Kluyveromyces lactis: one gene and its partner. The protein of the gene in region 2 purifies or fractionates together with the protein of the main gene of each other region. This does not show direct contact. Links are inferred from orthologs where the notes say so. Each region holds a gene or a part of one and is shown on either strand. Other genes may lie near its edges.

Region 1 (4,382 bases), about 1.2 Mb from region 2:
ATATGAAAAAGATGGTGTGATAACATTTGATTCCGTGCTTTGGTAGTTTACATCCCACACCTGTACAGAGGCATCATGCTTATTGCGATCTAAACCCATGGCTATTAGGCCATTTGTATTTATACTCAAACTGTTGATAGTTCGCTGGTGCTTTGCTCGTACTCGTAGATCGAACGGCTCGTATGCATCGTCCGTATCCAAAATATTAAATAACCGTACAACACCGCTTTTCTCACCGACACCTACTATACCTTCATCTGTATTAGAGTAATCTAGACATGTTATATTTCCAAAGTCCTTTACTGTATTCACCTTAACGATGGACTCGTCTGTCTCCACATCCAGCTTCACTCGGTAATGAGAAACTTCATCTCTTGTAGGATTAACAGACAAAAAATCCAACCCTTCCACATTTGGCCAACAAGGAACGCGTTTAATCAAGCCCATGAAGTAATACTGGTGGATTGGCCTCGACAGATGCTTTACTACATTGAATACCGTAATATTATTTGATGCATCTTATCACTCATTCTGAAGTTATCTTGAAATAATTTACCGTATATAGTTTTATTACCCGGATATATGTACATAGGAACAGGAGAGTTAAGTACTGAGTGAACGAAAACTTGATGGATAATTCAGTCACGTAGTAGTCCTTTCAATTGTCTTTCCTGTTTGATCGATAAATCTTCAACATCAGCTAGTCCTTCGCGTGCAAGTATTTTCCGGCCCTTCCAATTAACCTCTTCTACTTGATGTGTTCTCTCATCTATATCGAAATCGTCATGTAATAAAGTATGTACATCTAACTCATCAATCTTAGATAAAAGTTTGTTAAGATCGTTGATGAGCTTAGATCCCATTATTACCAGTGATCTCGGTGACCTCTCATTGGATGTTATTTTCACTATATTTCCAACAAATTCATCCTTGAATTCTTGGACAGATAAGTATTCATCATTTTCAAGCCTGGAGCTAATGTAAGGTATGACCTTGAAATTTGAAGATGATTCGAGGTCTGCAAAAGATTTAAAAGATAAAGTCTTTGTGAGATTGTTCCACACAACATCCTTCAATATATACCTTATCGGATGGAACGCAATGTCGTTTATGATCCTTTGGTTTCTTACCCTTTCAACATTACATTCTTGTTTAGCCACCAAAGATGATGCAAGACCTTCCAATGAATTGAGGTCTCTCAAAAGAACTTCTGAGAATACGATTCTGTCATTTAGCTCTTCGGTATCTAGAGTATTCAAAGAAGATGGGCTGAACTTTCTTACCAAAGGAGCGCCTCTTTTGAGTTCTCTTTTCATTGTCCAGTACTTGCATATATCCAACGAAATTTGCTCGGAATTTGGAACATGAAATCTGTTTAAAACTCTCATTGTAATATCTGCGAAGGCTTGAGGTGCAATTAAAGTTCCCCTACTGGTTTTCCATTTATTCTTAATGGTTTTCTTGGCAGATTGCTTGTTTTCTTCCACGGCACTGTCTTGTAGCACCTTGTGATGATTAATGTGATTAAAATAATCCCTAGTTTTACGAATTCCGTCTTCACAGCTACTCCAGCCGTTAGGAGAATGTTTGTGACAAAAACTTTCCAGGAAAGCACCTGTGGAAAAGTTTTTTGAGGCAGCCTCTTGAACTGTACATCCATTGAAGTTCATGTATAATCCAGCTCTTTTAGCGCACGTAGTGTGATACGCTGCAAAACAGTTCTTATTCGAGCATTGGATGCAAGCACCGACCTCTTGTTTGCAAATATAACATGTGAGCTTCCATCGACTTTTCGGGATATTCTCTATTCCTCCAATCGGCTCCATATAGTGTAGATTTCCGAAATAAAGCTCTGGTATCCAAATTCCACATAACACATGGCCCCACGATCCGTTATCCGTTTGTTTGAAAGCTCCAGTGGTACTGGGACAAAAGAGACACTCGAGCTTTCTATTTTTGGATATCATGCATCTTCGGCAAAGCCACTGACCTTCTGGAATGAAAACTACACCATAGCATTCCTGATGTACGGCGATATCGCAACCATCGCAAAATACTATCGCATTCGAATTATCACATTCTATGCCTCCACATACTGCACACGGTTGATCCATTGGGTATCCAGTACCGTCGTCTGATCCGTATAACTCATGATGCTTCCAGGCAGCATGAGATTCATGCGTATTATTAGTAGCACTAGGTGATACTCTTGGTGGAATTTTCTTCTCTAAATGGAAAGCTTCGTTCTCTAATATCGTAATAACTATTTCGAAAACTTCGTGTGATAACTTATGCTTAGAATTTGTCAGTGCCGTATTTAAGTGCCGAAGGAATAAGTCATCTTGCTCATCCATATCATACTCTACCTTAAAATTAACCTGGTATGGCGAAACATCAGCAAAAAACTCATTGCTATGCTTCATCAATAGATCAGTCTTCTTACAGTATGACTTTTGATCTAATCCGCAAGTACGATCTGCATGAGATCTGTATCCGTATTTTACCAACTGTTTATTAACCTTGCCATGAGGATTTAGCTGTGATATCCGAATCTTACAGCGCTTGAACTCTGCGTTCTTGATTTGAGGTCCTAGCATTTCGATTGTTATGCTATCGTTTACGATCAATTGTTTCCATGACTTCAAATGTTCTCGCAAATTATCGTCAGGATACACTTCTTCTTCATCGTGGCGATGACGATCATTCAACTCATCATGATTATTTTTCCCAAAAAGGACAAGGTCATTTACGTCTAAATCCGGATAGAAATGCTTAAAACTAACTTCTTCTCGAAGCCTAACGCCGTCCTCTTGAGTTTGCATTAGTTTATCCCAACTATATTACAGCCTATCGTATCCAAAATGAGCTTCTTCGGTGAAAAGAGGCATGTCATCACATCTAATTGGATCGTTTTCAACATATAGGCCGATTCATTTATCTTTTTTCTTTGTTATGGTTTTCGGAGTATATATCACGTGATATGATTGAATGTTAATTTGACTTAAGAACTGACTCTGCAAGCGTCCGTAGATATGATCGACACTCATTGAACAATATTAGGGTTAGCATCTTTGAAAAGTTGATCAAGGCGTCTAGTTATCCTTTTATATTACTGCTTTTTCTTTCATTTGTAACGGTTTTATGACATTTTGTGATTAAAAGTGATGTGCCAAGCAACAATTAATAAGAAGCATGAATTTGCATATTATAAAAACACATTATCGTTACATAGCGCATTGTAGAACTAAGGAACATATATATATATATATATATATATATATGTATATTAACTACTTTAAGTGGTATACATTTGTATATTCTTGTAATTAGATTCGAAAAAACCCAAGGAAGATCATCCCCTACTCTTCGAAATCAAGTAATAAATCAACAGGATTTTCGGCACGTCCGCTGAACATTAATTTGCTGTTGTCTTCGTTCTCCATTAATGTACCAGACAAAAATTGTTGAAGATCATCATGTATCGCGTTTGCTCCCGCGTTTGTCTCCTTGACAAGCATCGGATATGTTCTACTGTCAATAATCCTTTCTGGATATTGCTCATCATCGTTAATATATTCATTGTTGATGTGAGCTTGTTGTTGTTGTTGTTGTTGTTGTTGTTGTTGTTGTTGTTGTTGTTGTTGTTGTTGTTGTTGTTGGTGTCGCTGCTGTTGGTATTGTTCTGAGGAGATATGATGAGTAATGGGGGATTCAGATTTGGAAATATGTTGGTAATTTTGAGAAGTTTTCGGGTATGCTCCTGATTGCAACAGAGAAGAATTTGTGAGATCCGACTTTTTTCTTTCGAGTTCAGCGATCTTCTTCCTTAGTTCTTCCTTTTTTGCATCTTGAATCTCTAAAACTTGCTTTAAGCAATCCATATATTCAATTGTTCTTTTCAATATAGTTCCTTTATTTGGTTTTACCTTCTTTCCAAAATCATCGAAATGTAACAATGTTGGTGGAACCAATGTCCCCAACTCCTTTATTTTAGCTTTGATCAGCTCTCTTCTACGCCTTTCGACGGCATTATGAAATTCTCTTCTCCTACGTATTTTCTCATCTTGAGTCAAAGCCGATGAGTTCATGTCTTTAGGCGTGGAAGTCAAACTGCTACTTGTTGGAAACTGTTGCGAACCCCTGTTACTTCTCAATGACGATGAGAGTTGCGAAGCACCACGATAACTGGCAGAAGGAGACCTTAAACTTGAAGACAGTTGGTTGTAAGAGTGGGAATCAAACGAATTCATTGGTTGTGGCTGGTACGATGAAACTGGTGTCATCAGGTCACTATGGATACTGGACCCCAGAGATGATACGAAATCATCTGTAAAGTTGCTAACCAAGTCATCTGTGGCTTGGGAGCCTTGCAAATGTTCGCG
Region 2 (4,192 bases):
TTACTCTCAACCATACTTTGAAGATGGTTATGTTGGTCAAGGTGGTTACGCATCTCACATCAGAGTCCACGAACATTTCGTGATTCCAATCCCAGAATCTTTAGAAACCAACAATGTTGCACCATTGCTATGTGGTGGTGCCACTGTGTATTCTCCATTGAAGAGAAATGGATGTGGCCCAGGTAAGAAAGTCGGTATCGTTGGTATCGGAGGTATTGGTCACATGGGTATTCTATTAGCCAAAGCCATGGGTGCCGAAGTGTACGCCATCTCTAGATCCCATGCCAAGGAGGAAACATCCAAGCAATTGGGTGCAGACCATTACATTGCCACTGAAGATGAAGGTTGGGAAACCAAGTATTTCGATACATTGGATTTCATGGTTCTATGTGGTAACTCATTGTCGGCCGTTGATTTCGGCAAGCTACCAAAGATTTTGAAAGCTCAAGGTGTTATTGCATCCATTTCTGTCCCTGATCAGCATGAAGCCATACATTTACATCCAGCGCAACTTCTAGGATTCCAGATTACTCAATCTTGTCTAGCATCTCGTGCAGAAATCATTGAAATGTTGAACTTGGTGGCTGAAAAGAAGATCAAACTATGGGTTGAAACGGTTCCAATCAGTGAGGAAAATATCTCCACAGTGTTCAAAAGAATGGAAAGCGGTGATGTTCGTTTCAGATTCACACTAACTGACTTTGATAAACAGTTTGACCAATTCAAAGCCAAGAAATAGGCGTTGAACTGTATAAATTATATAGATGGTTGACACGTTGTTCATAGCTTAAGTCACTTATATATACATACTATGACATAAACGTCAAAATGGAAACACACATAAAATACAACCTACAATTTATACACATTGCAAGGAACGGCTTTCATAAACACCAGAGGACGGTAAGGGTACAGTAAAGTGCATGAAATGCAGTCACTGTAGCCAAGGTTACCTTTCCAGTAACCGAAAATTTCTCGAAGAAGAGCAACAAGATCATGGGAAATATTTGCTAACTGAGCTGGTATGAAAGATACAAAAAAATACAGATATCACGTGACCATCAAGAAACCGAAATTTTTGATGCAGCAGTAACATGGATCTGTATTGTTTTGCTTCATTTCATAGGAGAAAGAATGATATAGGCAACCGGTTTTTGTAAATGTAAGACCTAGATTGCTTGCTGTTAGTTTCGTTTACTATAACTCGGACTTTGTGAGTTCTTGTGAGAATGTGTTTTTAGAATAGACATTCTTCTCTTCTAAAACTAGTAAAGGTACTATCCTCTCTATTTGTTTACCTTATATTGAAAGAAGAAATAATAATTCATCAAGTGGCAGTCATCGCATATTTAAGAATGACGACTTCTAAGCGAAATAGACTGCTGAAGGAACTTCTGATTGATGATAATATACATTCCAAAGTACAGGCTGATTTATGGGACGCTGGAGATGGTGGAGTACGACGGAAACGCACCAGAGATAGACATGACAAGTCGTCGGATCATATAGGCTATAACGGTGCTGATGATTCTGGGGTGCAACCGGAGAAGAATAAGGACAAGAAACTTAAAACGATTGTTATACCATCTGATTGGAATGAGATGAACAGCCATGTGCAATTTTCAGACGATCGTAGAATTATTACTATCAGGTATAATCCGTTGAAGTTGCTTGATTTCAATCAAGTGTTGAACAGAGGCAGCGATCTCGACGTAAAAGTACCGTCAATTCCGCTAAATGGCATTGACTTTGAGATATATGAAACTGAAAATTTGTTAACATCTCTTGATAACGATGCTCAGTTCCCTTATCGTGGCGCAATTGAAAATAAGCAGGATTATACAACTCATAGGACCATTCCTCGTGTCAAAGATAGAGAGTTTTTTCTAACTTTGCTGCGTAAGTCCCAAACAGCAGCTCGTTTCAATGGTAACACACTCCTGGCATTTCCAAATGATGAAGCTCATAATCAAGATAAGAAACGGTTAAAGCCAACAGCTTTGATGCATTCTGCGAAGACAACCAACGTGGAATATGTTTATTTCCAAAATTATGAGATCAAAACTTGGTATAAGGCTCCCTACCCTGAAGAGTATAACAAGAACGAAATTATCTATATTTGCGACAAGTGTTTGAAATATATGAGTTCAAAGTATGTCTATTATAGGCATCAGTTGAAATGTGATTATATCCACCCGCCAGGAAACCAAATTTATAGAGATATGGACCAAGGGTTCGCCATTTGGGAAGTAGACGGAAGAGAGAACGTTATTTATTGTCAGAATTTATGTTTACTAGCGAAACTTTTTTTAAATTCGAAAACTTTGTATTATGACGTGGAACCCTTTATGTTTTACACCATAACAGTATGGGAGGACGAAGAATGGAAATTTGTTGGATATTTTTCTAAGGAAAAGCTAAACTCAACTGGTTATAACCTAAGTTGTATTCTTACTTTACCACATTTTCAAAGGCGCGGTATCGGACATCTACTGATGGACTTTTCATATCTCTTATCAAGAAGGGAATTTAAACTAGGCACTCCCGAGAAACCTTTGAGTGATCTTGGTTTGGTATCTTATCGAATATACTGGAAAAATAAGATGGTGCAAACGCTTAATATGTTATTTGAAGAACTGGGTGATTCATTCGCTTGTACCATAGACGACTTGTCCAATCTAACCGGTATGAATCATTCGGATGTGATATTCGGCCTGGAACAGATTGGATGTCTATACAAATACAACGATGAAGCCTCAGGTAAATGCAAATATGCAGTGAAAGTAGAAGATTGGGATATCTTGTGTCAGTTATTTGAACAGTCTAGAGCGAAAATGAAATATACTTTGGACCCTTCCAGATTTGTTTGGAAGCATGTCATTTTCGGTCCTTCGTGTGGAATCAATGCCGTTGGAACCATGGTAGAAACAAATGTTAGCCAGCAAAGAATTACGTCTGCCGCTGGTTCAACAGCTGCTGATCCATTCAAACAAAGTATATCTGTTCTAACGAATTTTATGAGTGACGATTTGGCGGATCCAAGAACGATGGAAGAAGCTGCAATGGAAAAGATTAAGCAACAAACTATTCCTGTATCCTTGTCTGATAAATCTTTAGTTCGAGCATATACACTTCCAAGCAATATCAAGGAAAAAATCATTAAGGCAAGCAAAATAAAACCTGAATTCAAACAACTCAATACGAAGCTCGGGGGGACTATTCCAGCTCTCAATGAAGGTACACCTTCTGGCGATGCTTCTGATGCCAAAACACTGATCAGCGGAGGTATGCACGATGATATAAATGGCGATGAGCAAGAAATTGAGGAAGAGTTTGAAGAGGCAGACGGTTTAGAAGATGAAGGTTTCTCGCTAGATGATGCAGAAGCTGAGGAGTATTCAGATGATGATGAAGATGATGATCAAGTGCCACCGCCTCCAGAGGAAATAGCGACTCCTAGGGTCAGTAGATCTCTAAGAAAACTCAGACAGCACAATCCCGTAGAAAATGAAGTTCAGCAAAGACCACAGAGAGTCTTACGGAATAGAGTTTGAATATTAATTAAAGGATAACCTAATCATAGTAATGCGTGGCCATGACATGTGTTTATGAGAAGAAAACTGATAATAGTGTAATATCTAATATATGCATGTATATATGTATATGATTGTAAGAATAGCGAAAATTAATGCCATCATTGATATAGCAGTAAAATGTAAATAACAAAACAACGTAATAGTACGCACTTTTCATTTAAGTGTTTATGCAAAAGGAGCAGCCCGTGTCCCTTTGCTATAATAAACTGAATAGGGACATTATTATGACAAAAAATAACCATATGGTACAGTTCAAATGATTTGGCATAAAGATAACACTGTAACAGTATTATTGATGTTCTATTGTAGTTATAGTACTTGTACAATGGGGTCATAATCAGGAAAGTGTGTGCGTTTATGTGATAGTAAATCAACGACAATGATGATTGAAGTAGCAGCGACTGGCGCCACGATACACTTCGGGGTTCATGTTCATACATGTCTGAAAGTGGTTTGTAAAGTAGTTTTTTAAGTTTTTGGTTCTTGATAATGGTATTAATACAGACAGTTTATCATCAAACAATGTGCTTGAATATCGTATTCAAACTAGGCAGTGGCTGAGTTGGCACTTGCGGTAGTCGATGGTTTTGTGGTGG

The links.
Region 1: the proteins of SAS3 (region 2) and NTO1 purify together in Saccharomyces cerevisiae (affinity purification with mass spectrometry; 4 studies listed by BioGRID, with this or other methods). This does not show direct contact. The link is inferred for Kluyveromyces lactis from reciprocal best matches to the Saccharomyces cerevisiae genes SAS3 and NTO1.

What each region holds. Positions count from the first base shown.
Region 1 is NC_006041.1:584,386-588,767, forward strand, and holds NTO1 (Nto1p), read right to left. Parts: upstream 2,823-4,382; coding exon 639-2,822; downstream 1-638. Other genes in the region: SEA4 (Sea4p), read right to left, coding at 1-447; RTG3 (Rtg3p), read right to left, coding at 3,360-4,382.
Region 2 is NC_006041.1:1,770,423-1,774,614, forward strand, and holds SAS3 (histone acetyltransferase), read left to right. Parts: upstream 1-1,355; coding exon 1,356-3,554; downstream 3,555-4,192. Other genes in the region: KLLA0_E19889g (NAD(P)-dependent alcohol dehydrogenase), read left to right, coding at 1-739; KLLA0_E19933g (SANT/Myb-like DNA-binding domain-containing protein), read right to left, coding at 4,112-4,192. UniProt on the Saccharomyces cerevisiae protein: Catalytic component of the NuA3 histone acetyltransferase complex, that acetylates H3K14. The NuA3 HAT complex has 2 functionally distinct forms.